Macaca mulatta: one gene and its partners. The protein of the gene in region 2 interacts with the protein of the main gene of each other region in a biochemical or structural test. Links are inferred from orthologs where the notes say so. Each region holds a gene or a part of one and is shown on either strand. Other genes may lie near its edges. The genes, in order: HCK, KHDRBS1, RASA1, FGR, NCK1, YES1 and PRMT1.

Region 1 (4,044 bases), on a different chromosome or scaffold from region 2:
TCCACAGCAGCTGGAAGGAATGAATGAGGCCTCTGTTTTCTATTTCTCATCCTGGATAGATTTTGACAACTTAATGATAAGAAGGGGCAAATATGCTCCTCTGCTATCCCCTTTCTCAGAATTGCAGAAAAGTCTCACAGTTAGATAGCTTTTTTTTTTTTTTTTTGAGATGAAGTTTCGCATTTGCTGCCCGGGCTGGAGTGCAATGGCGCGATCTCGGCTCACTGCAACCTCCGCTTCCCCGGGTTCAAGCCATTCTCCTGCTTCAGCCTCCCGAGCAGCTGAGATTACAGGCATGAGCCACCGCATAGATAGCATTTTTAAAGCACACAAAACAATAATATGTGCTGTTTATGCATACACTTATACACAATCCATTTTTAAAGGCACAGCCTGGAAGGACTGTAATCACGACAGCGGTTGCCCCCTGGGGAGGGATAGAAACAGGACTGAGAGTGACACAAGGTGGGGAGACTTCAAATTTTTCTGTTACTTTTAGTAAATTAATTTTTTAAAATCTGAAGCAAACACAACAAAATGCTATCATCTGTTAATTCTGGATGGTGGATTCTTGGGATATTTAATATATTATTCTCTTCACTTTTCTGTATTTCTTTTTTTTTTTTTTTTGAGACGGAGTCTCGCTCTGTCGCCCAGGCTGGAGTGCAGTGGCGCGATCTCGGCTCACTGCAAGCTCTGCCTCCCGGGTTCACGCCATTCTCCTGCCTCAGCCTCCCGAGTAGCTGGGACTACAGGCGCCCGCCACCGCGCCCGGCTAATTTTTTGTATTTTTAGTAGAGACGGGGTTTCACCGTGGTCTCGATCTCCTGACCTTGTGATCCGCCCGCCTCGGCCTCCCAAAGTGCTGGGATTACAGGCGTGAGCCACCGCGCCCGGCCCACTTTTCTGTATTTCAACCTGTCACCCCCTCCCCTAAAAAAAAAGGACCATAAAGAAAAAACCATGGGATAAGGCAACTGATATGTATTGAGGCCTTTTTCTGTGCCAGGCATAGGCTACCCCAGTGGTTTTCAAAGTGCCATCCTTGGATCAGCAGCAGCAGCATCACCAGGGATGGAAGTTCTTAGTGTCCTGCACAGAGTTACTGAATCAGAAACTCTAGTATTCGGCCCAGCAATCTGTGTTTTCACAAGCAGTCCAGGTGATGCTGATGTAGGCTGAAGTCTGAGAACGCGGGGCCATGTGTCTAGCTAGGGCAATGTTAAGATACATTAAACCTGTGTACTGTCAGACAGTACTCTCAGAGCTTTCCTTCAGTACCTTGCCTTTTCTTTCTTTCTTTCTTTCTTTCTTTCTTTCTTTCTTTCTTTCTTTCTTTCTTTCTTTCTTTCTTTCTCTCTCTCTCTCTCTCTCTCTCTCTCTCTCTTTCTTTTTTTCTTTTTCTTTTTTTGAGACAGAGTCTTTCTCTGTCGCCCAGGCTGGAGTGCAGCCGCGCGATCTCAGCTCACAGCAACCTCCACCTCCCAGGTTCAAGTGATTCTCGTGCCTCAGCCTCCAGAGTAGCTGGAATTACAGGCATGTGCCACCACGCCTGGCTAAGTTTTGTACTTTTAGTACAGACGAGGTTTCACCATGTTAGCCAGGCTGGTCTCAAACTCTTGACCTCAAGAGATCCACCTGCCTCAGCCTCCCAAAAAGCTGAGATTACAGGAGTGAGTCACCCTACCCGGCTCCTTCAGTATCCAATTAATCCTCTAAACAACCCTGTGAAGGAGGTACTATTACTCTCCCCATCCTACAGTTGTGAAAACAGAAGCAAAGAAAGGCCAAATCCTCTACCCCAGGCCCAACAGGCAGTTTGCCTCTAGAAGCCCCCTCCCCTACCCACTAGCCTAACTGTCTCTCACAGGCACCACCTCTCACAATTTCCTGCATCCTTGCAAGAAAGACTTCATAGCTCCGGCTTACAGATGAGGAAACGAATCCTGAGAGGGAGAATTCGTCCAACAAGGAGGAAAGTGTCAGGGCATGGCAGTCTTGGGCCAGGAGGTTTAGGGGTTTGACCTAGACCTACTGTGGGAGGAGGGGCAGAGAGCCGACCAGCTGCAGCCGGCCTGGGTGTGGCTCACACGTCAGGCCTCCGCCCAACTGCCCCCTTCCCCAAGCCGGCTGCCAACCCGGCGTGACCCGGCCCCCACCGGGAACCGTAAGGGCCTTCCCCCCCAGGCTCTGTGAAGCCCCATCCCTTCCTTCTTCTTCTTTTTTTTTTTTAATTAAAAAAAATCCCCCCCACCCCGCCGCAGAAGGGGAACCTGGACAGCCCAGAGAAGCGGTGGATAAAGTCACTGCACGGGCCTCCCCTCCCCTCCCCCTGGCATCCAGCAGTCCGCAGCAGTGCCGCCCCTCTCCTGGGCACCCTCCCCTGGCTGTCGACCCCTCATCACAGGCTACCCGCGGCTCCCCCGACGTTCCCGTCTCTCCTCGCTGCCCTCAGCAGCACCCGTAACCAGCCCTCCCCACTCCCCTAGACTCCCTCCGCCGCCTGGGACCCCTCGCGGGCCGGATATTCCCGGTCCCCTGTGCGCGGCACTCACCTGGGCGCCCGCTCCTGGTCTCGCGGGCAGCCCGGATCCTCGCAGCTCGAGCGCCCCCCCAGCTCGGCAGCCCCCGAGGTTCCGGGGTGCCAGTGCTGGGAAACTGACTTTCTAGAACTAGAGGCGGGGGCAGCGCTCGCAGGGGCTTTGGTGCCGCGGGCGTGTCTCGCCCTGCACTGTCTGGGTCCCTTCCCACTCGCCTCTAAGCCTCCGACGTGCTCCCGGACTGGGACCAGGGACGCGGTGGTGCCCGCAGGCCATCTGGGCGCTTTAGCCGCGCCCTGAGCGATGCTAACTCCGCCCCAAGTGTCCTAACGCCGCCCCGAAGACTCAGAAGCCACCCCAGGTTCCTAACCTGCTCCCCAAGGGTCATAACCTCCGTCTCCTGCAAGCAGGATCCCAAACCCGCCACCAAGAGAAAAAACAAAAAAAATTAGCATCATCCATCGGAGGCTTCTAACACGTCCACCAAGGATGTTAACCTCCATTCCTTCCGCTCTACTCTCCCTAACACCTCCCCATCCCACCGCCCAGCGTCCTACCGCAGTCTCCGAAGGATCCCAAATGCCACCCCTGGGGATTCGAACCCTCCCGTCTAAGAACCCCAGCACCCGCTCCCATGCTCCCAAGATCCTAACTCCGCCCCGCCAAAGGATTTTTAAACTAAACTTGCCCCCAAAGATTCTAATCTGCCCAATGGAAAGATCCGAACTCTCACTTCAGTGGATTCTAACCCTGCCTTAAAGATTTAGAACACTAACCCCAGGGTTCCAATACCGCTCTTGCTCCTGCGCGATCCCAACCTGCCGCCGCCTAAGAGTTTTAATCCCCAGGGGTCTATCCCGCCGGTCCAAAGACTCCAACCCTGCCCTTCAGAGATCCTAACCCCACCTATTAAAGGATTCCTGCTACAGTCTTCAAAGATTCCAACCCCACCCTGGAAAGGCCTTACCCTACCCCGGAAGCATCGTGATCCCTTTCCCCCACCACTCCGACCCCTCCCTTCTGGCCCGGCCCCCACAGCGCCGCGGCCCGAGACTTCCAGGCCCGTCTGTGGTCAGCGGTTTCCCTTCCGCAGGCCTGCTCCATTCAGACGCCACGCAAAGTTCCTCTCTCGAAGGAACCACCGTGGCCATGCAAAGTTCCCTGACCAAAGGAACTACCCTGGCCATGCAAAGTTCCCCGCCCGAAGGAACCACCCTGGCTTCCGGGCAGCTCAGAGGACTCCCAGACTGGGGGAGGTGGTCTGGAGAGGTGAGGAGTCAGGCTGGAGGGTGACCCCCCCCCCCAGTGGATGGGATTGTGCCCAGCTCCAGGCAAGGGCAGAACACACCCTCTCCTGAAAACACAGGGGCTATCACCCTAAATTCTGTGTAACACACCTCCAAAATCTCCAAAATGTACAAGAATCATACTGTGTCTCTCTGTTCCCGTTCTACCAGCTGATCGGGGCTACCGTCATTTCTTCACTCATTTCTTCATTCATTCA
Region 2 (3,500 bases):
TTTCAAGTTTTCCCAGACAATCCTACCAATGCACAAGATGCTACTGCTCTGTCCATTACTATGCAGTCAAAAGTCCAAAAGAAAACTATCACCAGGGCACACCTAGGCTCTTCCAGGGTTGCCAAGCAAGTAAATTAACTTGGTGTATAATCTCTTGCACCCAATGCACACTTAAAGGAGCCACATTCTGTACATACACAATATTCTTGCCTCTATAAGGCATCTATACTGCATTCTGGGCAAGTAGAAGGCATTAGGATGTCCTCTTGCCTCACTAATGTGAGCTTACCTTGGCTTTGTCTCTCATTGAGCCCTTTCCCAACACAGAGATCTTTGCACCAGTCTCTTCCTGCAGTCTTTTGATTGTATTCCCTTGTGGTCCAAGAATCTTCCCCACAAAATTGAACTGACAGAAAATAAAGGATTTCTAAATATACATGCTACTATATAAAAACATCTCCACATAAATTACCTCATTTGATTTTAAACAACCCTGCAAAGGTAGAGTATTACCATTCCCGTTTTACTGAAGGACGCTGAAGCCATATTAATAAAGTGATTAGTTTAAGATTATGAAACTAGAAAGTGGCAGTTCCTAGACCTGAATTTGGCTTTTCTGATGTATTCTGGCCATCTTCCATAATACACTAAGACCTTTACTATTTTATTTTTTACTTTATTTTGAGACAGGCTCTCACTTTGTTGCCCAGGCCAAAGTGTAGTGACATGATCATGGCTCACCGCAGCCTCGACTTCCTGGGCTCAAGTGATCCTCCCGCCTCAGCCTCTGGAGTAGCCGGGACTATAGGTGCACATCACCATATCAGGCTAATTTTTGTATTTTTTGTAGAGATACGGTTTTGCTATGTTGCTTAGGCTGGTCTTGAATTCCTGGGCTCAAGTAATCTGCCTGCATTGGCCTCCCAAAGTGCTGGCATTACAGGCATGAGCCACTGTGCCTGTTTATGCATGCCTTAACATACATAAACATTGTTAACGCAGTGACCTCAGAGCAGAAGAGACTATATAGCACCCTTTGATAGCACGCTGGATAAACTAAATGTAACTAATTGCTTTCCTAAAAAAAGAAAAAAAAAAAAAGGAAGAAAAAAAGCATTTACTTAAAAGTAAACTTTTAGTAAGAAAATAAAATTAACTTCATCCAATTGAGGATTTGTATTATATTTCCTTTTATTTAGATTTCAGGTTAGTCTTTTGACAGAGAGCAACTCTTCAGGTTTTATTTTTTTTTTTTCTTTGAACTTGTAGCCTGAGCAGTCATTAGAGAAAGAAACTTTTTGATAATAAAAAGATTATTACATTTCCTTCCTGGCTATAACTATGTTTAGTTAAGAACTTAGATATTTCAATTGCCAGAAACAGGTACTGCAAGCATGAAAGAGAAGCTTCACAGGCTTAAGTTTCTAAAGCATCACAATCCCCAGGAGTCCATGACTCTCTCGTAACTATAAAGATAACTCAAAGATGCAAGGCACTTTTTGCCTTACCTTGGGATACTGCTTGACAGGTATCAGCACTCGCTCTTTCAGTTTCATGTTCTTATGAGAAAATAAATCCAAGTAATTCTCTTCATCGTCCTTTTTTGAGTCTCCTTTCTGAATCTTCTCAATTTCTGAACAGGAAAAACAATTTAAATTTTTGCTCTGGTAAATAAAAGCAAATTTTGAAGTCTGCTTAAAGCAATAACATGAAGTACCATATAGTGAGACCAAATAGTACACATGAATGTGCCAATTTCAGAAATAAACTAGCTGAAAGTACTAAAGTTATATGAAGTTGATTAGAAAGCCCAAAGCCTGCTTCTAATAAAAGTAGTGTGCTCTTCTAACCTCACCTGAAGCCTCACGTGAGAATAGAGACATTTAAATGTTTCTTAAATCGATTTAACAAAATTAATTGGGTGAGATGGGGAAAGGAGAATAAAGAAACAAACAAAAAATTAAAATCTGCATCAAGACAAAATATAATCTTACCTTGAAAAAAGCAAAAATCAATAATCTAAATATACAATGGATAGTTCCATTAAAGTTCCACAGTGACATTAGTACTCTAGATACTAGTCCTTAAGAGTCTGAAAGACCTTGTTCTTACTCTGCTACTCACTAGTTGTGTGACGTAAGAGAAGTTAATAAAATATGTAGATATGCCTAATTAAAGGCAATTTTTCATAAAGTACTTAATATATTGTCACCATTATCTAGCCCAAATTCAGCCAATGTCTAAACGATACAAAATGCACCAGGTACTTTTTTGAGACGGAGTTTCACTCCTGTTGCCCAGGCTGGAGTGCAATGGTGCAATCTTGGCTCACCGTAACCTCTGCCTCCTGGGTTCAAGCGATTCTCCTGCCTCAGCCTTCCAAGTAGCAGGGATTACAGGCATGTGCCACCATGCCCAGCTAATTTTGTATTTTTAGTAGAGACGGGGTTTCTCCATGTTGGTCAGGCTGGTCTTGAACTCCCGACCTCAGGTGATCCACCTGCCTCAGCCTCCCAAAGTGCTGGGATTACAGGCATGAGCCACCGCGCCCGGCCCAGCCACAAGGTACTTTCTAAAAAAACATTTTATTGAAGTATAACTGATATGTAAAAACCCATACATAATTAATGTATACAATTCATGATGAGTTTGGAGATAAGTATACACCCATGAAACTATCACCACCATTATGGCCACAGACATATCCATCATCACCCAAAAGTACTTTCAATTCACAGGTTAAGACAGTTTCATTAGATAGAAACTTGGCATACAAAAAGATTTCCTACTGGCCGGGCGCGGTGGCTCAAGCCTGTAATCCCAGCACTTTGGGAGGCTGAGACGGGCGGATCACAAGGTCAGGAGATGGAGACCATCCTGACTAACACGGTGAAACCCCGTCTCTACTAAAAAATACAAAAAACTAGCCGGGCGAGGTGGCGGGCGCCTGTAGTCCCAGCTACTCGGGAGGCTGAGGCAGGAGAATGGCGGGAACCCGGGAGGCGGAGCTTGCAGTGAGCTGAGATCCGGCCACAGCACTCCAGCCTGGGTGACAGAGCAAGACTCCGTCTCAAACAAACAAAAAACAAAACAAAAACAAAAAAAAAAGATTTCCTACCATTAAGGAACTTCATTCATTGAGTGACTGCAAGTGTTTGAGTGCTTCCTACGGTATGGAGAGGCAGATGAAGGGAGAGCTATAATAGGTACAATCATTAATCACTATGGAGGACTTACTAAGAGCCAGGCATCTGTCTTGCAAAGCACAGGAGATACAACAGAGCGAGTCAGACTGGTCTCTGTCTTCACTGTTTATATACTGGAGTTCCCAGACTATAGGGGTGGCAATGAAGTATAGTTAAGTGCTATAACAGGAGTTCTAACAGAGATGAGGGAAAAGTGCCCAAGGAATGAGCAGCAACTGAAAGCTTATATGATTCACTGAGAATAGTTAAAATACATATACTCCCTAAAATCAGTGGAACATTCTAAATATCAGA
Region 3 (3,500 bases), on a different chromosome or scaffold from region 2:
GCTTTTCTTTGTTTTATTACTGAGAGTTATTTCAAATCTATTGATGTCAGGAGGAAGATCACTAAAGGAGCAAGGAGAAAAAGAATTAACAAAATGATTTGGCATCAAACTACCTTATTTCTTTAGTTCTAGTATCAAATAAACCCCCATTTCTGCCAAAAAAAAAAAAAAGAGTGTGCTAGACCTAAAACCAGATTGACAACGTATTTTATTATTTGGTATACAGAAGACATGCAAATTACACACTTTTCCTACCATCTTTAACCTCCTAAACTAATAATTCATTCAAATAAGTACTGGAAACCCTAGTAAACATTTTGTATGTGTGGATTAGTAAAGTTTTTTGACTTGCTAATAATTCATGTTAATAACTAAGTGGAAAAACCAAGGGCATAGCACTTCACAAATAAAGGTAAACAAATACAACAGAAAAAAAAAAATATATACACCTGAATATGGTACCTTGTTCTGATGGTTTAGAGACCAAAAAAAATAGAAAGAAATGCAATATGGTAAAAGAAAATGATTAATGTAATGATAAAATAAGACTTACTCAAAGACAAACTCTTCTGACCACACTGGGTTTTGCCCTTCCCTTGCATGAGTTTTTGCTACTTGGACACTATTCAAGTAGATGTTACAATATGGATTAGTAAAATGTTTTACTGGGAGTTTATGGGCTTCTTCAATATGTAAAACAAGGCTGCTGACCTAAAAAAAAAAAAAAAAAATTACCCCAGATTTCTATAATTGCACATTTCAAAAGCAATTACTCTAAGATACAAAGCCAAAAATAATGATTTATTTTCCCCTTTTTTCAGAAAATATGAGCTTTGGTTATATTTTTCCTTTATATATGACATACTTAAAATATTCAAACATTTAAAATAATTCTTCCCACCTAAAAAGATAAAACAATGCAATTTTATTTTACAAGTTATTTCTCCCACTATATACTTGGAGAAATAATGAAATACATCTTTTCTACCATAAAACAATGATAAAGAGAAAATGAAGTTAAGAAAATTCTTTACTAATGTAAGTAAACAACTGTCACTACTCATCGAAATCCCGTATGTTATATAATATTTATCTGGAAGATTCTATTTCTATAGAAGAATTCCACAGCTAAACACTTTTAAAACACTGACCTTACCTTCTTATTTTACAGGAAAGGATACAAACCTAAAGAAACTAAGCTATCTGTCAGTTTGGATGCCAAAACTTAGATCATCTACCTTCTAGTATCAGGTCCTCTTTCTCTCTTGCCATATACTACTTGTGTGGCCTTGGACAAATCTGTCCCTCTAAGCCTCATCTTTCTAATATGTAAGTATAAAGTCTACACTACAGGTTGTAATAAGGATTACAAACTAGTTATCCCTCAGTTATCTGTGGGGGACTGATTTCAAGACCCTCCACCTCTCTCTCCTGGCAGATAACTAAGCCCAAGATGCTCAAGTTCCATATAGAAAATGACGTAGTATCTGCATAAAATCTATGCATGCCCTCCTGTATGCTGTAAATCATCTCTAGATTACTTGTAATACCTAATACAATGTGAATGCTATGTACATAGTTGTTATACTGTATCTTTTTATTGTATTTTTTTCTGAATAGTTTTGACCCATGGTTGGTAGATTACAGTGATGCAGAACCCATGAATAGAAAGGGCCAACTGTATATGTAAGTCACTAAATCTCACTGCCCACTGATACATAAAAAGTGTTTGAGATGTTAGCTATGATTATGTTAAACCTGCAAATGTCAGTTTAATGGCTCAAGTTTCATACAAAATACAACTTGCTCTTATTTGCAAAAATCCAATCTGATTTTTGATAGCTTACAAAATGTTACAATGTTATGAAGACATGGCGATTGTGTGTCTACTTAAATGTCCCTGGCGAAGAGCCTGACTTTGGGTTACAGGGACTATTTAGTCACCTAAATGTCAACCATTATCCACTCCCAGTAGAACAGTATGTTAATCACTCAGCTTATCAGATATTCACATGAAGAGAACAGGAGACACTTTGGTCAGTAAATATTGTACTCAACTTTCTTTAAAACCTCGAGAATGTCAAAATTTGCCTAACTTCTTCCAATTATATAGGGATTACTATAAAGAAAAAAAGCCAAGAAATGGAGGTTATAAAGTTACCCTTGTAAAGGCAAAAAAGAGAAAGCCTAGCTTAACTCTCCACAACTCGAAGTATAGGGCATGTTACAGTTTCAAATAAGATTAAATATTTCCTAAGAGTTAAGCAGTAGGTTTTAAAAGCTGTTCTTCAAAATGAAAATCCCAAAAAAGTTTATTGAGATTTGTGCTATAAATCTGATGATCTTTTCAATGTTCTACTTTTTTGAAAAAGGCCAAAATAATTTTTTAAAGGAAAATTAAGTGCCCAACAGAACAGTTTCTGCTGTGTTGGTTTAGTATTGTTATTTAAAGTGGAAGAATAATCTTTCTTATGTTTTTAACAGTTGGCATTTTGGACTAAGAAAGAACATTCTCTTTCATAAAGAAGTAACATTTTCCTGCTACTAAAGCAAGTGGCAGCATGGCTTAACCCCTCCTAAGATATGATGTCCAAAACAGTTCAGATAAAAATAAAAAGAGCGAAGCGTTAGAGCAAAATGTGACAATTAAAAATCAAAGAAAATTAAGCTTCACCTGACGAAGGCGTTTATTGGATGTCCCTGGACTACTTTTCCGTAAATTGCAAAATGCCTGCAGACCTTTCATCCAATCCTACAAAGAAAAAAAGCATTTCAAAGAAATATACACTAGTTTATTTGGTTTCCAAATCATCAGTTAGGTTTTTTTTTTTTTTTTTCCAAATTCAACAATTCCTTCCTTCTTTAGACTGCCCTTTCGTTTCTCGGACTATATTGCACTTTATAACAATAACCAATAATAAAATAATAAAGTAATAACAATAAAACAACCAAAACAGTTGTAATTCTGTATAAATCTTTGTTTGAATTTATGTATTAAACACATCGAGTGGCCATTAATTAGCCAAAAAATCAAATTTACATGAAACTGTTTCTCCCAAACATACTACCTTGGGGAAGTTAACTGTCAAGTATAATTAAGCTGTTACATTTGAGGCAAGCTTAGGTGGAATTTAACTTGATACATTTTTTGAAAAGGGGAGAGGGCTGATTCTAAAACCAACTGATTAACATTATGACTGATCCCATGACAAGCATGCTAATCTATACTTTAGGCCATGATACAGGCAGAAATGTATAAGGGGATTTGGGTTATTTTTAAGCTTTTAAATATAACATTAGATTTTAAAAATCATTTTAGCCTAATATTCAAATCAAATTGCAGCCATATTTTTTAAATGTTTAGTGCTTTGGGGGAAAGAAGAGAACTAAGGTTTATTAAAAATAAATCTAAATATTCACTTTGGTTTTTACATGTTTCTGGAAAGCTGTGTTCTATTGCTTTATTCAATTATGTCTTTAGTTTGTTGGCTATTTCAGTG
Region 4 (3,500 bases), about 4.5 Mb from region 2:
TGAACTGAACCCGCGTGGTGATGTAGTAGCCACCCATGTCCAGCTTGCGAATCTTGTAATGCTTCACATGATCGCCTCTGGTCTGATCCCAGTCCCGGATGGACAGGGAGTAGGCACCTGTGGAGAAGGATCACTTTGGATCTGCTGTTCTCCTCTCCCCTAGTCTGGGAGCTGGGAGAGGCCCGACAGCAGCATCCCTAGGACCTGGTCCCAGTCTTGGCCTTGACCCAAGCACCCTACCGCTCCTAGCCCTACCCCAATGGTTGGGCCTCCCAGTCACCTTGGCGCATGGCACCACCCCTACCTTTGGTGGTCTCGCTTTCCCGAATGAGAAAGGCCCCCTGGGGGTTGCCTGGTGAGAGCAGCTGCCTCTCTGCATCCTTTCTCCCAATCTTTCCAAAGTACCACCTGTTGGGAAAGGCAGGCAAGAGTCAGGTGTGCTCTGCTCAATCCTCACCTCAGCCTCCTGCGCAGTCACTTCACAAGTCAATACTCCATTTTCCCCATGTGTACAATGGGGCTGGTACACCTGCTTCACAGCCTGGCTGGGAGGATCACAGAGAAGGGGAATGTAAAATGCCTGGCACACAGTAGGTGCCCAGCAAAGGTTAGCATCTCTTCTCATTAGGTTTCTCTTGAATTAAAATTGCTTCAATCCCAGTCATCAGGGTGCCATGGACCCTCAGTTCATCTCACTCTAGCCCCTCTGTGCACTCATTTTACAGATGAGGAAGTTGAGGCTCAGAGAGGGAAAGTGACCTGTCCACAGGCTGGCTAATGAGATCTACCTAAAATCCTCTGCCCCTCACCCTAGTTCTTTTTTCACCACTCCAGTAATCAGATCACTCAGATCCTTCTCCCACCCCCACTTCCAAATCCTTTCCTCCTTTGGCCTCCAGAGCAACATGGTCTCCTGCTTCTCTTCTCTCTGGCTGCTCCCGCCCCAGCTCCTGCTCTTCTTGCACTCTCTTAGACTTGGATGTTGTCCTAAGTCTAAACTTCAACCTCAGGCCTCAATCACTCCTCTCCCTGGGTGATTCTTCCCGGGATTGAACTGTAGCCCTAAACCAACTGTGCAGGTACAATGGGGGAGCTGACATGACCACAGGTGCCATAGAAGACTCAGATGATCATGCAACTGGCCTGTGGCCATCTTGGGTTGAATTAAAGGAGCCTCGTGTTTTCAAACCAAGGGTGATGGAAGTCTTAGTGGACCCTGGGAAAGTCAGTCCGCCCCTGGGTAAGTCAGTCCGCCCCTGGGTACTAGGCACAGTTCAGGAAACAGGAGAAAGCACTGGCAAGTGGTGTGTCCAAGAGGGCAGGCGGGAGGGGGACGGAGGAAGTGTTGAAGGACTGTATAGACAGGACACATTGTCAAGTTTTTTCAAAGCCCTCCCCCCTCCCACAAGCATGACATTAGCTACTTCCTTAATAATCAGTATAATAATAACAGCACGTATTTCATGCTAGGGTCTGCCTTAATACATGTATGTATTTACTTAATTCTCCTAACAACGTTGTGAGATAGCTACCATTGTTTACCCCCATTAGACAGTCAGGACTGCAGTTGATAGAACAGGAACCCAGGCTGTCTGCTTTAGGGCCTGTGCTCCTAACCACACTACCCGTAACCACAACACTGCACTGAGCACCTCTCAGCGCTTGGTGACACTGGCTCCAAGATGTGGACACAAGCATGAAGCTCCCCACAAACCTCCTGTCCTCTGCATCATTGTCCCTCCTCTCCTTCATGCCTCCTACCACTTCCCCAGACTTGGGCCTCACTGCACTTGACCTCTGAACCTCGCCCGCCCACTCCTGTTCAGCGATGCCCACCCGCTCCTGCTCAGTCATACCCACTTCCTGCCAGCAGCCTCCACCTGCATGCAGCCTCTCCATTCCAACAACCTCCAAACATGCCCACATTTCTCCCTTCCCCAAAGGAAACTATTCTAAGTTCCATCTTGCCATCAACATTCTGCTGTATCTTCTCGCCTTCCCTTTACTTGAAAAAGTGCTTCGCACTTGGGTCTCCAATTCCTCACCTCCCACTGCCTCCCAGGTTCTGCTGTCTGGCCTCCGCCTCCCACCCTCGCACAGAGAAATCTCTCACCAAGGTCACCCCCACTGCCAAATCCAGTGGCAGCCTCTGACACGCCCTCTCTAGTTTCCTGAAGCTTCTGCGCTCTCTTGGTTCTTCTGACTTGGCCTGGTCTGGATTTCCTCACTTCTCCAGTGGCTCCTTCTCCTTCGAGGGCAGGTTTCCCCAAAGTGGGGTCCCAGAGCCAATCTTTTTCACTCTCTGCTCTCTTCCTTAACCCTCTATATAGCTTTTTAAAAAAATTTTAATTAATTAATTTTTTTTGAGACTGAATCTCGCTGTGTTACCCAGGATGGAGTGCAGTGGCTCCATCTCGGCTCACTGCAACCTCCACCTCCCAGGTTCAAGTGATTCTCTTGCCTCAGCCTTCTGAGTAGCTGGGACTACAGTTGCCTGCCACTACACCCAGCTAATTTTTGTATTTTTAGTAGAAATAAGGTTTCACCACGTTGGCCAGGCTGGTCTTGAACTCCTAACCTCAGGTGATCCACCCACCTCAGCCTCCCAAAGTGATGGGATTGCATGCATGCATCACTGCCCCTGGCCCCCTCCTATTTAGCTTTAATGATCATCTTTACTTTCATGAGTTCCACATTTCTGCCCTAGCCCACTGTGACTTCTGCAAGGACCATAGCAAACAAACTGAGGAGTCTTAGTGCCAATTAGGAAAAGGTGCCCCTTCCTTTGGGCTGATTCAGGGGCATGGATTAGCATGGGCTGGTTGCCTGCCATACAAAGCACAACCTAATCGAATTGCTGGCAGCCTCCTCCACATGGATGTTCCTCTCCACAAACCACAATCCAACAAGTACCCCCTAGAACTCATGAACCTATACCTGCTCCTGTGTTCCCTGCCTTAGCAAATGGTGCTATCATCCACCCAGCTCCTTAAGGAGACTTTGAGTCACCCTTGATTCCTCCCACTCCCCATAACCCAAATCAATCACAGAGTCCTGGATTCTCACTTTGCAGTCTCTTCAATCCCTTCTTTTCTCATATATGTATGACATTTGTGAGGATAGCTTTTTAAAAGCTTTATGAGCCTCAGTTTCCTCATCTGTAAAATGGGGACAATAATAATAACAAGGGGCTGGACATGGTGGCTCACACCTGTAATCGCAGCACTTCGGGAGTCTGAGGCAGGAAGATCACTTGAGGTCAGGAGTTTGAGACCAGCCTGGCCAACATGGTGAAACCCCATCTCTACTAAAATTAACAAAAATTAGCCAGGTGTGGTGGCGTGCACCTGTAGTCCCAGGTACTTGGAAGGCTGAGGCAGGAGAATTGCTTGAACTCAGGAGGTGAAAGTTGCAGTGAGCCAAGATTGAGCCACTGCCCTCCAGCCTGGGCAACAGAGCAAGACTCTGTCTAAAATAATAATATCAAGGCCAGGCATGGT
Region 5 (3,500 bases), on a different chromosome or scaffold from region 2:
AATTTAAAGCTGAAAAGAGGAAATGAAAATAGGTAATACCATTCCTGATAATTACTGATATTTAGTGAGGAGAAAAAACCAAGTATCTCACTGCTTCCTATTTTTGCAAAACTTGGCCATAACTTGTTTCCCACTGGCATAAATATAACATATCCTAATACAAGATGCCCTGGTAAAATAAGTGGGATTAAAAAAAATAAATAACACTAGAGCATCTATTTATAGTTTGAAAAGCTAAATATCTCAGAGACAATTTGGCTTTCTTGAATAACCAGATAAGGGAGAAGCACTGGAAAAAAAATTAAGAAAGTGATTTTTGTTTCCAACAGTTGTAAATTAAAATTGTACAACATGTTTTCTAATCTATGTCTCATGTGTCTTTCTGTACGACTGAAGACAATGAATGCATTTTTTAAAATTAAGGCAGACACAATATACTTGGTATTTACAATGGCCTGTGACAAATATAATACCTGGAAATAATTTCTAATTTTTCATTTATTATTGCTATTTAGTCACAGAAAAGATTAACACTCTCCAAGAAATTTATTTTAGCATATGTCATATATAGATATAATAATTTTATATAATGAAAAACCATAACAGAACAGGGCGCCTTTACAAGGAAACAAAGGATAGGCAATAAAGGATTTCTTCCATATAAAGATTCTGATAAGCATTATTTGATTTTTTTTTTCAAAATACAAAACTGTAATATTAGAAGCAAAGGGAAAACAGCAAAGAAAAAAAACAATAAAACAGAAGGCCAAGGATAAGGAACTGTTCTATGCAGATGCACTGCATACATAGTATATATGTATGGGCTGAATTATAATAAAAATACTTATTGTCAATTCTCATAAAGGTTTAGAAACAGCCATTTCCAATCAAGCACGATGGACCCAACATTTTCTCAGTCTTCAATTACATGACAAATTACAGCTATGCAGCAGTCACTTCTGGTCAGCAGTATCATGATAAATGCTTGACAAGATATAATTTTTCTCCTTGTTCACTTGTAAAAATTGGTGCCTTTTTGTAATGTTCTACAAGTTCTTCCATGGTGCTGAATTTACGCTGCCCAATGCAGTAGACAGTCTCTTTTAGTTGGACTTTAAAATGCTTGTTTTTCCCTTGTGCTTTTAGTGATACTGAGAAATCATTTGGCTAAAAGAGAAAAAAAAATACAGTAAACATTTTGAAAGCCCTCTATCAGTATTTTTATATTAAACTAAAAGCTAAAATTTAAGCACTAAGTCCTAGGTACCATGGTAAATTATTTACATAGATTTATCTCCTTTACTCCCTAAAACAAAACCCTTTTTACAGATGTGAAAACTGAGTCTCAGGGAAGCTATTAATAAATTGGCCAGTATCATCCATCTAGTTAACAACAGAGCCAGGATTCAAACCTGTGTAATCAAAAGTCTCTTAACACCCACAGCTCCACCAGTAGACACCCACAGCAAATCCCTTACATATTTGAAGAACAAGAGCTATCTTCTCTCCAGTCAGAGAAACACATGAGAAAGTCTAAGATACCCACCCAACCCCTTTTCAATGTGTAGCTAACAGTAGCTGTCTTAGGGATAACACGCTGAATTCCCAAAAATGAAGAACACACAAATGAGAATTAATCTAAACTTTAAGGAAAGGCCACAAACTCAAATGCCTACAAGAGCCAAAAGAATAACGTAAACAAGTGTCAGAGTGGAAGGGTAGATGGGCAGAGAAAATGACAGTGTATCACCAATCTAAAGAAGTGGTGACTTCTCAGCTGTGATTGTTGCCCCGCAGGAATAGGGTCTCAATGTTGGTAGTTCTTTCAATTTTAAATGGTCCAAAGTCTGAATTTTTACAATAAATATCCTAATATTTAAATATGGGCAATGAATTTAAACGTTTAAAAAACACTGTGAAGGCTAAACAAAATATGCCTACTTGAGACCTAACCTTAAAAAGTATACTGCTAAAAATAATGGTATATATTGTATTTTGTCTTATATTTATGCTCAATTACCCACAAGAAAATACACACAATTCTGCATTCAAGCTATTTTCTTTTTAATTAGGTTTTTTGTTGTTGTTGTTGTTGTTACAGTCTATATCAACCCCCAAAAGCCTCTTTTTCTACAGTTACTCCCAAAGTTTCAAACAGTGAGCCAGATCAGGCAACTAACAGAAAATGGATGTCATCACTCTTCCCTACTGCCAACCAACTGCTTTTCTGAGGGATTAGGCACAGGCCCCATTTTCCTGAACTTCATATTAGAAGTTCAATTAATCTCTCTCCCCACCACACCCCACTTCCACACATTTTCTTTCAAAATTTTGTGCAATTACACATTCCCTTTTGTACAAATATACTCACGCAAAGCCAAGATTAATCATGATTTAATAAATGGAAAAGTAATGATATCTTTTATCAAGGAAAAGGGCATTTTTAAGGAAAATGAGTGTCATCAAATTCTAATATCCTAAACAGTATCTAAGAGACCATGAAACCATACTATTTTTCAACTTTTATGGTTTTATAGTTTTATTGTTTACTAGTATTGCAATATAATTTACCTTTTATTGCAAATGCATTTCAAACACAGTGTTAAAATAGGTTTTTTGAGATTACAATAAAAAGTGTATTCCAATTTCCAGGTAACCAATTTATGAAGAAACTTAGTATCAATTTTTTAAATTCAGGGATTTCCTATGTCATAAGGACTACAGTGACTATCTTCTTACACATTGTATCCAATAGCAATTTTTAAAATGTTTCCCAATTTAATCTACAGTATTATTCTACATTCAATGAAGAAGTCAATGTTCCATTTTCTCCATTTAGTTTAATGCAACAGAAAATATATCAGGAATGCAAAATCAACAGAACTAGAAAAGACCAAATAACTCAGCATGTAGCATCACTGCCACAACTCTCTTTTCATTGAAAATAGATAGCTAGAAAGAATGCTGACTTTAGCTTTGGAACATTTATGCTTATGTTATGTCCCAGCTTGTTACCTGGTTAACTTTAGGGAAGCCACTTAACCTCTCCATTTCTCTTTTTCTTTTTAATACATAGAGCTCTATTTGTATTTACATCTGAAAATCAACTTACCGAAGATTCACTATCTCGAATGAGGAAATCCCCTTCGTGTCCTCTTTCGTTTAATGCCATTTCTGCTTGATGCCTGGTGACTTTGCCATAATACCAAGGATTGCCAGCAAACTTTCCCGTGAGTGAAGGCCTAATGTAATCACACTGTGGAGGTGATGGCTCCAAACCTGAGGTTAATGGATTATTCTGCATAACGGTAACATAGTTTTTTGGTACTAGACCAACCATACCATTGATCTTCCTGCATTTCCACCATTCTGGGTCATTTTCAGGTTTTTCAATAACATCCATTACATCTCCTTTCTCGAAATTAAGTTCTTCATCGTTAGATGAGCTGAATGGGTAAAGAGCCTGTACCACATGCAACACTTGCCCGGTATTTAGGTTA
Region 6 (4,149 bases), on a different chromosome or scaffold from region 2:
CCCGGGTTCACGCCATTCTCCTGCCTCAGCCTCCCGAGCAGCTGGGACTACAGGCGCCCGCCACCTCGCCCGGCTAGTTTTTTTTTTGTATTTTTTTAGTAGAGACGGGGTTTCACTGGGTTAGCCAGGATGGTCTCGATCTCCTGACCTCGTGATCCGCCCGCCTCGGCCTCCCAAAGTGCTGGGATTACAGGCTTGAGCCACCGCACCCGGCCTAAATTATGTTCTTAAACCAAGCACCTCATATAGTACATTATACACTGGATTCCTTAAAAAAAATTCATGTAAAATAAAACATAGAAACAGATTCTGCATACAGACGTAGGGCTTAATGTATTACACTAAAACCAATACCCTTGGTAACTCCTATCAGGTTAAAACAACTTTGTCACCACTTCAGAAGCCAGGTCCCTATCACAATCTCCTCCCTCTTCCTATATATTTCCTTTCATAGAACCACAGGTATTCTATGCTTCTATCTTTACGTTCACAGAAATTTCCTTGCAGGTTTTTTCTTTTTTAATTACCCAAGTTTGGGCGACACCAGAGTTTAGCATCACTTAAATTTTTTTGGCATTAGTCTTCTTTCTTACTATAATGCTAATAGAATAACTGATGCCTACACTGATGTTGTAAAGAAAAACTACCCATAGGAATAAATTATTTACTGTCTAACATGATGCAAATTTCAACTTTGAGTAAGTCTTACACCATCGGTTGATAATATTTCGCTTATACAGGTTTACTTCTAGTCTTTTAGCACATTTATTCTTTTATCAATACATACCACGAAGGAATTCTACTTGCATAAACAATTTTTCAGCTTGTGAATTTCCTGAACTAAAACACACACAAAAAAACGCCCATGTATTAATGTTATATACTTCGACCATAAGACAAATTCCACCTAACCCAGGAAGACAGGTCAAAGCTGTAATTTCACTTTCAGATGAACAGAAAGGAATCAATTTTGTGGTTTATGAAGTCAGCAAAACCTAACTGCGAAATTAAAGCTATTATAACATTACGGTGGTTACAACAGAGTATGTATTTTAAGAGCCCTTTTATCTTTTATCCTGGAAACATGGATATAAACTGTTTTGTTTTCAGATCAAAGGCAACTGTCTATTTCAAATGTAGGACCCTCTGAAATGTTAACCAGCATTTAAAATCTCCACCGACTTTTAGCTAATGTCCAAAAATTAAAATACAATTTAACTTCCTTTTCTTACATGTCAATTGTGGCAGGGGTCTCACATTTATAAGCAAACAAAAACAACAAAACCATATATATTATTTGCTAAAGTAAAACTTCCTTACTGTACAATATATGAAAATCGTAAGTGATGCATACAAGATCCTTGGTTAATACAAGATACTCCTTTATTACCTGACCAAAATGCTTCCTGTCCACCGTGTGCCAAGCACTGTGACAGTTATTAGATTTACCATGCACTTTTCCTTAAATGCAGTCATGTGTATACATTTAGTAATATTTTCCTTAGTGAGTTATTTAACTTTAGAAATTTAACAGGATGGTTTAAACACATTTAAAATTATCAAGACATCTTTGGCACTAATCTTACAATTATAATACATGAAGATACTATAATCATATTATATACACGTGAAATCAACTATGTGAAAACACACATCCGTGGAACATATATACATAATAAATGGTATGGACATAAAATTGTGCTTCCACCAGACTTTATTTCCTTTAATAATGTACAAATTAGACCGTATGTTATTCCACGCCTATATCAATTAATTATGCAGAAAATAATTCAACCAAATCCGAACTGTTAAGTCCTACTCAAAACAAAAACTAAAGTCCCTACACCAGACTTGATTTTCAAAGAGCTTCTTAAAACAACTCTGCTCCATGCCCAATAAAGTGAAAGCTGGAAGCAATTATCAAGAAGAAAAACACACTTTAAGACAAAATTTTCTTTAACACATGTGGACAGGGAACCGAACGCAACGGGAGGCGGAGTGGCATGAAAAAGTGGACGCTGAATGGTAAATTTCCCAACCCCCAATCCAAAACAAAGGAAAACTTTAAACATGTTGCGGTTTTCAATCAAACCGAGTAAAGCCCGAGAGGCTCACCCACTCGCCCCACACACCCTCTCCTCTCCCCGCACAGCTGCTACCGGCGTCGGCCGAGACACAGACCCCCAGCCTTTAGGACCGAAAAGGGACCGCTTCCCTCGCCCCCACTTCGGCCGTGTGGGCAAAAATAAACCTCGCCTCCACGCCGCCGGGCTGTCCACACGACCCCAAAGACAAGCGGTGGAGAGTGTCCCCACGCCCCTGGGACCTCAGGTCGGACTTGGGCGGGACCCGGCAGGACTGAATGGGGCAGAGACCAAGTCAGGGGCGAGCAGGTAGCGCGGGGAACGAGACGAGCCCGCGGGGCGAGCCGGGGGAGGGGAGAAGTTTCTTCCCAACTTCCCGACTCTGGCCCGCGGGGGCGGGGAACCGCGGCGGTGCTGGCGGCTCCGGGCGCTGGGGCCTAGCCCTGTCCGTGCCGGGGTGGACCCCTCCGCCCGCGGGGCCCCACCCGGTCCTTACCTGTCCTCCGGCCGCGCTCTCATGAGTCGCTGCTGCCGCAGCTCGAGGTGGCGGGAGGGGACGGAGGGCGGAGGCGAGGCCCGCGGGCCCTCTCCCTCCTCCACCTCCTCGTCCCGGGGCGCCCGGCTGCAGCAACCACTGCAGAGCCGGCCCGGGACGCGTTGCTTCAGGACGAGGGAGTTCCCTGGCTCCCCACCCCTCGGCCTCACTCTCCACCTCCTTCCCCCGGCCCCGCCCCCTCACTTCTAGCGGGGGCGGGGGCGGGCGCGGGGCGGGGGCTGCGGCTACCTGCGCGCGCCGCCGTCCGCTCACCGGAACTCGGGCCACGCCGGCCAGGCTCCAGGGCCCCCAGCCTTCCGGCGCTTACGCCCCCGCCAGGTCCCCTCCGCGGGCTCTGGGCCGCTTTGCTGTGGTCTGGGTATGCGACCGGTCCGTGTCACTTCTCCCGACCCAACATGGCGGCGGGGTCCGGGGCGGATTCCCGGGGGCGGTGCAGGCTGAGGGGGCGTGAGGAGGAGGTGCTTCCCCGCCCGGAGAGCAGGCCCGCGGCGCCCCTTCCCAGCCGCGAACCCACCGACGCTCGGCTGCCGCGGGGATTGAATGGGGCGCCCCGATTCCGCCCCTCTGCCTTTCTCTTTTCCTTGGCCCGGCTCTCCGTAGTTCCCAGGGCTTTGGGGCTTGTTTTTGCGGGGGAGGACGGGGTTGAGTTTTTTTGGCTGGCTGCTTCTCAGCACTATGCTTCCGCACCCTTTGTCGTTGGTAGTAAAATCTCAGCCCAACCGCGTGAGCCGGGGGCGTTACTCACACGCTCGTCACTATCCAGATGCCGTCCAAACAACGTTCACGTCTGGCCTCCTTCCGAGGCAGGGATCCTGTCCCTGCCCCCAGGAGCTTCCTGTTAACTGTAGGTCGAACCAGCCTTGCCGGGAGGGGAACCGAAGCCGAGTTATGTTTGGCGACTATCTCAGTAATGGTGGCTTTGGCTTATGTTGGGACAGCGTATGTCTATATGCTGCTGGCGGCAGCCCAGTGAGGGAAGTGCAACAAGTATGGTTATCCTGCTCGAAAGCTGTGGAAACAGCGACCCCGAAAGTGGAGGAGCCAAGCTGGAATCGTGTCGGTCTGAAGCCGCGCACCTTTCCTATGAGCCTCGTACCCAGTCGCTGAAGAAGGGGGAGGACCCGGAAGGATGGGGTGGGGGCGTTAATCAAGGTCCTCATGAACTGACCCTTGAGGCACTTCTGCTGCAGTCACTTCTGCCTTGTCAGACTTTCGGAGTAACTTCCTTTCTTTATTTCCTCTTTGGTGGGGTTATCAGAATAGTTGTGTGACTATTGGTTTCCTTTGCGGTTTTTAGTGAAATTCAGAATCATCGACAGATACGAAATAGTACAGTCATACGTGTCAGAATTTCGGTGTTCTAGGAACTTAAGGAAATGCACATAAGGGTTTGAACATTTTTTTTTTCAGCTCACTAAATGAACGAAAGGTAGGCATAGGCATTAAAGATACACATAATGTGGAACGGTGCTGTATTTTCTTTAGCTACTAAAACTTCATTTGTCTTTG
Region 7 (4,134 bases), on a different chromosome or scaffold from region 2:
GGTCTCGATCTCCTGACCTCGTGATCCGCCCGTCTCGGCCTCCCAAAGTGCTGGGATTACGGGCTTGAGCCACCGCGCCCGGCCAATTTTTGTATTTTTAATAGAAATGGGCGTTTCACCATGTTGGCCAGACTGGTGTCGAACTCCTGACTTCAAGTGATCCGCCCGCCTCCGCCTCCCAAAGTGCTGGGATTACAGGCGTGAGCCACTGCGCCCGAATCCTATCGGAAATTTTTAAGTCTCAGGCGTTTGCCAGCGGCACGCCAGAGAGTATAGCCTGCACCGAGGCCCAGAAACCAAAGAGCGAGCTCATTCCGGGATTGGAGAGGAGTGTGAGCGGAGGGAAGCAGAGGGATCAGAGAGAGGAGGGGCAGGACCCACGCATTCGGCCCTTTGCATTCAGCCTCATTCAACTAGGAACTTTTCCTGCAAATCAAGCAAAGCTTCCCGGAGGAAGTGGTGCCTAAGCTGCGCTCTGATTCTCGTTTAGAAGCTGACAAGACAAAGAGAGGTGGGCGGTCCTGGCAGGGGGAGGGACTCGGCAAAAACCAAGTACCTTGAGAGGGGTTGATGGGTTTTAAAAACTTTGAATGATTATGTCAAAGGCTAGGGATTTAATGTGTTGACTGCGGACTCCTATTCCTCACTTGCTTGGGGACCCCAGCGATGCCATTCCTCTCTCTGGGCCTCTCACTGATTCAGTTTTTCTCCCAGGTAATGAGCACAAGCTCCCTTTTTCCTCGAGACTCCCCCCGGGTTGGGAGGATCCACCGAGTGGACTAGGCGTGATCGTTCCTTTGAGCCAATCGTTGGTGCCTGAAGCCCCGCCTTCTTCCCCACCCGTGGGCCAATTGTCGTGTTCTCCTTGAGACTGGCCGCTTGGCGAGGGTGAAAGGCCGCGTGACGTCACTTCCGGATAAACCAATGGCAGCGATTAAGAGGCGGGTCGTTTTGGTGATGGACAGTTGTTTCAAGACGCCCCTTTAGCGCGGGGCTCCCCGGGAAGCTTTGAGGCGGTGCTGGGGGTAAAGGGGCGGGCATTCCTCGTGGATTTTGCCCAATCACCAGTCGCGCTTCTTGCAATAGACGGGCAGTTTTCCCCATCTCGGGTCGACTTGAGGGGGCGGGATTCTGGACGCCAGTGTTGGCAAACCCCTGACCTATGATGGACGTATTCTCCAGCCAATTATCAGACGGTATTCTCAGACGGGCCGCCTCCATTGCCAATGAAATCTTCCAGCGGGGTCGCGGTAGGCGGGCCGTGGACCCTCTGGTATAAGGCGGTCCCGGGGGAGTGAGGAGAAAGGGGGGGTCTTGGCGGCTGGAGGAGGAGTAGTTGCGGGTGAAGATGGCGGCAGCCGAGGCCGCGAACTGCATCATGGAGGTGAGCGCTTGGAGCGCCGCCGTGGGCGGGGGTCGGCTTTGGGTCGATGTTTCACGCCTCTGTGGTGGGGAAAGGGCTCTAAGTTGGCGACATGGGGTTGGAGGTCCCCCGCCGCACACGGGGGCGCCGCACGCTCCACATCCGGGGATATCGTTTGAGGTGACGGCTCCCTAGCTTTCAAGGGCCTTCGGCATCCGGCCTAGCGGAGGGTCTTATCCCCCCTCCCACGTGGAGGAGGGCTGGGGGCGCTTCCGGCCAGGCCCCCACGTGGCCGCGGCGCGGTGGGTGGGGAGGGGGTGTGCCGAGTCCGGTGGCCCGGCGGGCTCCACGTGCGGGACAAAGGCCCCGCCCCCGGCCGGGGAGGGGCGCCCGGGGGGGCGGGGAGGGGGTCCGACCCTCCTGAGGCCCCCAGCCCTCCTACCCAGGGACCCGGGCACACGTCGTGGGGTGGGATCGACCTGGGGCCCTCCACGATGTAGAGTGTCTTTTGGGAGGAGCAGTGCCTTTTACAACCTCCTTCCGAGCTCCAGGGGCATCTATTGGGATATCGGCCCTGGATTTGTGCGTTCTGGATTAGGGACTGGAGGAAAACCAAGAATGGGGCCCCCCTGACCCCATTTCCCCTCCTAGAGTTCTCCCCCTCACCCAGGGCTTTAGGTGTTGGGGGATGGGGCATGCCCCTGTGACCTCCCTCTGGGTGGTGGTGGGGCATCTAGATGGAGATTTTCCCACTAATAGGCGCCGTGCACCCCCTTGTGGCCATTTCTGGGTGTGTGGGAGGGACATCTTTTTCATGGGGCGTGTCCTGAAGCCCACCTCCCGTCGGATTTCTTCCTGGAGGGCGGAGGGAGGAGGGTACGTCCGCTGGGAAGGAGTTGTGGGAAATACGTAGGCTGAGAGCTTTACCCTCTGCTGGAGCGCTTTCTCTCTCCTGGGCCTTTGTGAGGGCGGGAGATGACCTCCCCCTTCCTGAAGCCCTGTGTAGGGGTCCTGAGCCCCGGGGTCCTGAGGGTGGGTGCCTGAAATGGTTTCAAGTGAGGTTTGGTTCTCGTGCAGCCATGTGGGGGAGGTTTCAGTCTTGCGTTTTAAGCCTTCGGGCTGGGGTTGTCTGGCAGTAGTTTTCAGTGGTGGTGATAAATGGGCCCCAGCGGGAAACCCCCGCAGCACCTTTCTTATAGGCATCCCCGCTGGCTTGGGAGAGCTGGGGGGAGGGTGTTTGGAGCCTAGTAGGTCATGGCCAGTGACGTGGCCCTTCTTGGAGTGGTCACATCTGGAAGAGATGTAATCTGATGGGGCCTCTGTCCTTCCACCCCTTTACCCATGGCATTGACTGGGGGGGCAGGTCAGCTGTAAGCTGTCAGGATGCAGCTCCCAGGGGTCACTGTAATGACTTCGCACCCTCTTGGCTGTCTCCTGCACCTGGGGCTCTGTGGGCGGAGGAAATAACTTTCCCAGAGGTGGCCTCAGGCTTGGCCGCACCTGGAAGTCTTCAGGACCTGGGATGGGTGTCTGAAATGGGGGCGATGGGCTGACTCCCCAAGCTACTTTTTTTTTTTTTTTTTTTTTTTTTTTTTGAGACGGAGTCTTAATCTGTCACCAAGGCTGGAGTGCAATGGCTTGATCTCGGCTCATTGCAACCTCCGCTTCCTGGGTTCAAGCGATTCTCCTGCCTCAGCCTCTTGAATAGCTGGGATGACAGGCACCCGCCACCAGGCCCAGCTAATTTTTGTATTTTTAGTAGAGATGGGGATTCACCATGTTGGTCAGGCCGGTCTCAAACTCCTGACCTAAGGTGACCCACCCGCCTCTGCCTCCCAAACTGCTGGGATTACAGGTGTGAGCCACCGCGCCCCCAAGCCACTTTCTGGAGCCCGCTCATTCTTAAGAGGGTCCAGGAGCTGCCCATCCTCCATGGGACCCTACCTTCGTGGGCAGAGGGTCATAAGGGAGCGGGTTGGTTCCAGCTGGTTTTGTTTGGGGCTCCTGAGTCCAAGGCAGGAGCTGGGGGCTGGGGTACTAGCTCTGGGGAAGTGCCCGTGTGCCACACCTCTATTCTGGAATCCTCTCAGACATGAGACTGGTTTGCAGAGGTGGCAGATGCCCTGTGGGCATACCCTGCCAGCCTCGTTCCCTCCTGCTATTCATGGCACCCTGGGATAGGGGTGTGTGTGTCAGGAAGTGTCACCTAATCTGGGGGAGATTAGGTGATGAGAGGGAGCGACAGCTGGCGGGGGTGGGTGCCAGTTCCCCTGGCCTGGATGGGGGAGGTGTGTGGTCAGCTGCCTGGCCAGAGAGGGGCAACAAGGGGGCAGGCCACCATCTCTCCAGCCACAGCTGGGATAGGAGACCCCCTTTCTTCTCCCCTCACTTTTCCCATCCCTTTCTTAAACACCCCACCTCATTACTTGCCCTCTTTGCCACCACTCCCCGCCAAGAAGGAGAATTGCTGGAAACCCCACCCCCCCCACCCCCCCCCACCCCGCCAGAGCCCAGGTCCCCGCGCCCAGCCCTCCCGCAGCCACTCCCAGTAGCTAATCCTTTCTCCCTGTTACTCTCTCCTAGAATTTTGTAGCCACCTTGGCTAATGGGATGAGCCTCCAGCCGCCTCTTGAAGAAGTAAATATCCTTTTGTGAGACCCCTTCCCACCCCGACCTCCACATCAATATATTTTGCCACACATCTGGCCCTTTCTTGAGGTCTAACCATACCCCTCTTGCTTCAAACCAGTTTACTGCAGGACCCCAAACAC

Evidence for each region.
Region 1: the proteins of KHDRBS1 (region 2) and HCK interact in a biophysical measurement, tested with the Homo sapiens proteins (2 studies listed by BioGRID and IntAct, with this or other methods). The link is inferred for Macaca mulatta from reciprocal best matches to the Homo sapiens genes KHDRBS1 and HCK.
Region 3: the proteins of KHDRBS1 (region 2) and RASA1 form a complex in vitro, tested with the Homo sapiens proteins (2 studies listed by BioGRID). The link is inferred for Macaca mulatta from reciprocal best matches to the Homo sapiens genes KHDRBS1 and RASA1.
Region 4: of the proteins of KHDRBS1 (region 2) and FGR, one has a biochemical effect on the other in vitro, tested with the Homo sapiens proteins (2 studies listed by BioGRID, with this or other methods). The link is inferred for Macaca mulatta from reciprocal best matches to the Homo sapiens genes KHDRBS1 and FGR.
Region 5: the proteins of KHDRBS1 (region 2) and NCK1 form a complex in vitro, tested with the Homo sapiens proteins (3 studies listed by BioGRID, with this or other methods). The link is inferred for Macaca mulatta from reciprocal best matches to the Homo sapiens genes KHDRBS1 and NCK1.
Region 6: of the proteins of KHDRBS1 (region 2) and YES1, one has a biochemical effect on the other in vitro, tested with the Homo sapiens proteins (2 studies listed by BioGRID, with this or other methods). The link is inferred for Macaca mulatta from reciprocal best matches to the Homo sapiens genes KHDRBS1 and YES1.
Region 7: of the proteins of KHDRBS1 (region 2) and PRMT1, one has a biochemical effect on the other in vitro, tested with the Homo sapiens proteins (2 studies listed by BioGRID). The link is inferred for Macaca mulatta from reciprocal best matches to the Homo sapiens genes KHDRBS1 and PRMT1.

What each region holds. Positions count from the first base shown.
Region 1 is NC_133415.1:84,875,144-84,879,187, reverse strand, and holds the start of HCK (HCK proto-oncogene, Src family tyrosine kinase), read right to left. Parts: upstream 2,801-4,044; 5' UTR 2,618-2,800; coding exon 2,556-2,617; intron 1-2,555. UniProt on the Homo sapiens protein: Non-receptor tyrosine-protein kinase found in hematopoietic cells that transmits signals from cell surface receptors and plays an important role in the regulation of innate immune responses, including neutrophil, monocyte, macrophage and mast cell functions, phagocytosis, cell survival and proliferation, cell adhesion and migration.
Region 2 is NC_133406.1:208,851,414-208,854,913, forward strand, and holds part of KHDRBS1 (KH domain-containing, RNA-binding, signal transduction-associated protein 1), read right to left. Parts: intron 1,634-3,500; coding exon 1,509-1,633; intron 407-1,508; coding exon 290-406; intron 1-289. UniProt on the Homo sapiens protein: Recruited and tyrosine phosphorylated by several receptor systems, for example the T-cell, leptin and insulin receptors. Once phosphorylated, functions as an adapter protein in signal transduction cascades by binding to SH2 and SH3 domain-containing proteins.
Region 3 is NC_133411.1:93,748,356-93,751,855, reverse strand, and holds part of RASA1 (ras GTPase-activating protein 1), read right to left. Parts: intron 2,753-3,500; coding exon 2,675-2,752; intron 712-2,674; coding exon 554-711; intron 62-553; coding exon 1-61. UniProt on the Homo sapiens protein: Inhibitory regulator of the Ras-cyclic AMP pathway. Stimulates the GTPase of normal but not oncogenic Ras p21; this stimulation may be further increased in the presence of NCK1.
Region 4 is NC_133406.1:213,326,471-213,329,970, reverse strand, and holds part of FGR (tyrosine-protein kinase Fgr), read right to left. Parts: intron 409-3,500; coding exon 305-408; intron 118-304; coding exon 1-117. UniProt on the Homo sapiens protein: Non-receptor tyrosine-protein kinase that transmits signals from cell surface receptors devoid of kinase activity and contributes to the regulation of immune responses, including neutrophil, monocyte, macrophage and mast cell functions, cytoskeleton remodeling in response to extracellular stimuli, phagocytosis, cell adhesion and migration.
Region 5 is NC_133407.1:39,960,492-39,963,991, reverse strand, and holds the end of NCK1 (SH2/SH3 adapter protein NCK1), read right to left. Parts: coding exon 3,113-3,500; intron 1,168-3,112; coding exon 973-1,167; 3' UTR 431-972; downstream 1-430. UniProt on the Homo sapiens protein: Adapter protein which associates with tyrosine-phosphorylated growth factor receptors, such as KDR and PDGFRB, or their cellular substrates. Maintains low levels of EIF2S1 phosphorylation by promoting its dephosphorylation by PP1.
Region 6 is NC_133423.1:72,093,620-72,097,768, forward strand, and holds the start of YES1 (tyrosine-protein kinase Yes), read right to left. Parts: upstream 2,801-4,149; 5' UTR 2,581-2,800; intron 1-2,580. UniProt on the Homo sapiens protein: Non-receptor protein tyrosine kinase that is involved in the regulation of cell growth and survival, apoptosis, cell-cell adhesion, cytoskeleton remodeling, and differentiation.
Region 7 is NC_133424.1:62,129,554-62,133,687, forward strand, and holds the start of PRMT1 (protein arginine N-methyltransferase 1), read left to right. Parts: upstream 1-1,334; 5' UTR 1,335-1,348; coding exon 1,349-1,384; intron 1,385-3,946; coding exon 3,947-4,000; exon of another isoform or gene 4,001-4,004; intron 4,005-4,134. UniProt on the Homo sapiens protein: Arginine methyltransferase that methylates (mono and asymmetric dimethylation) the guanidino nitrogens of arginyl residues present in proteins such as ESR1, histone H2, H3 and H4, FMR1, ILF3, HNRNPA1, HNRNPD, NFATC2IP, SUPT5H, TAF15, EWS, HABP4, SERBP1, RBM15, FOXO1, CHTOP, MAP3K5/ASK1, MICU1 and NPRL2.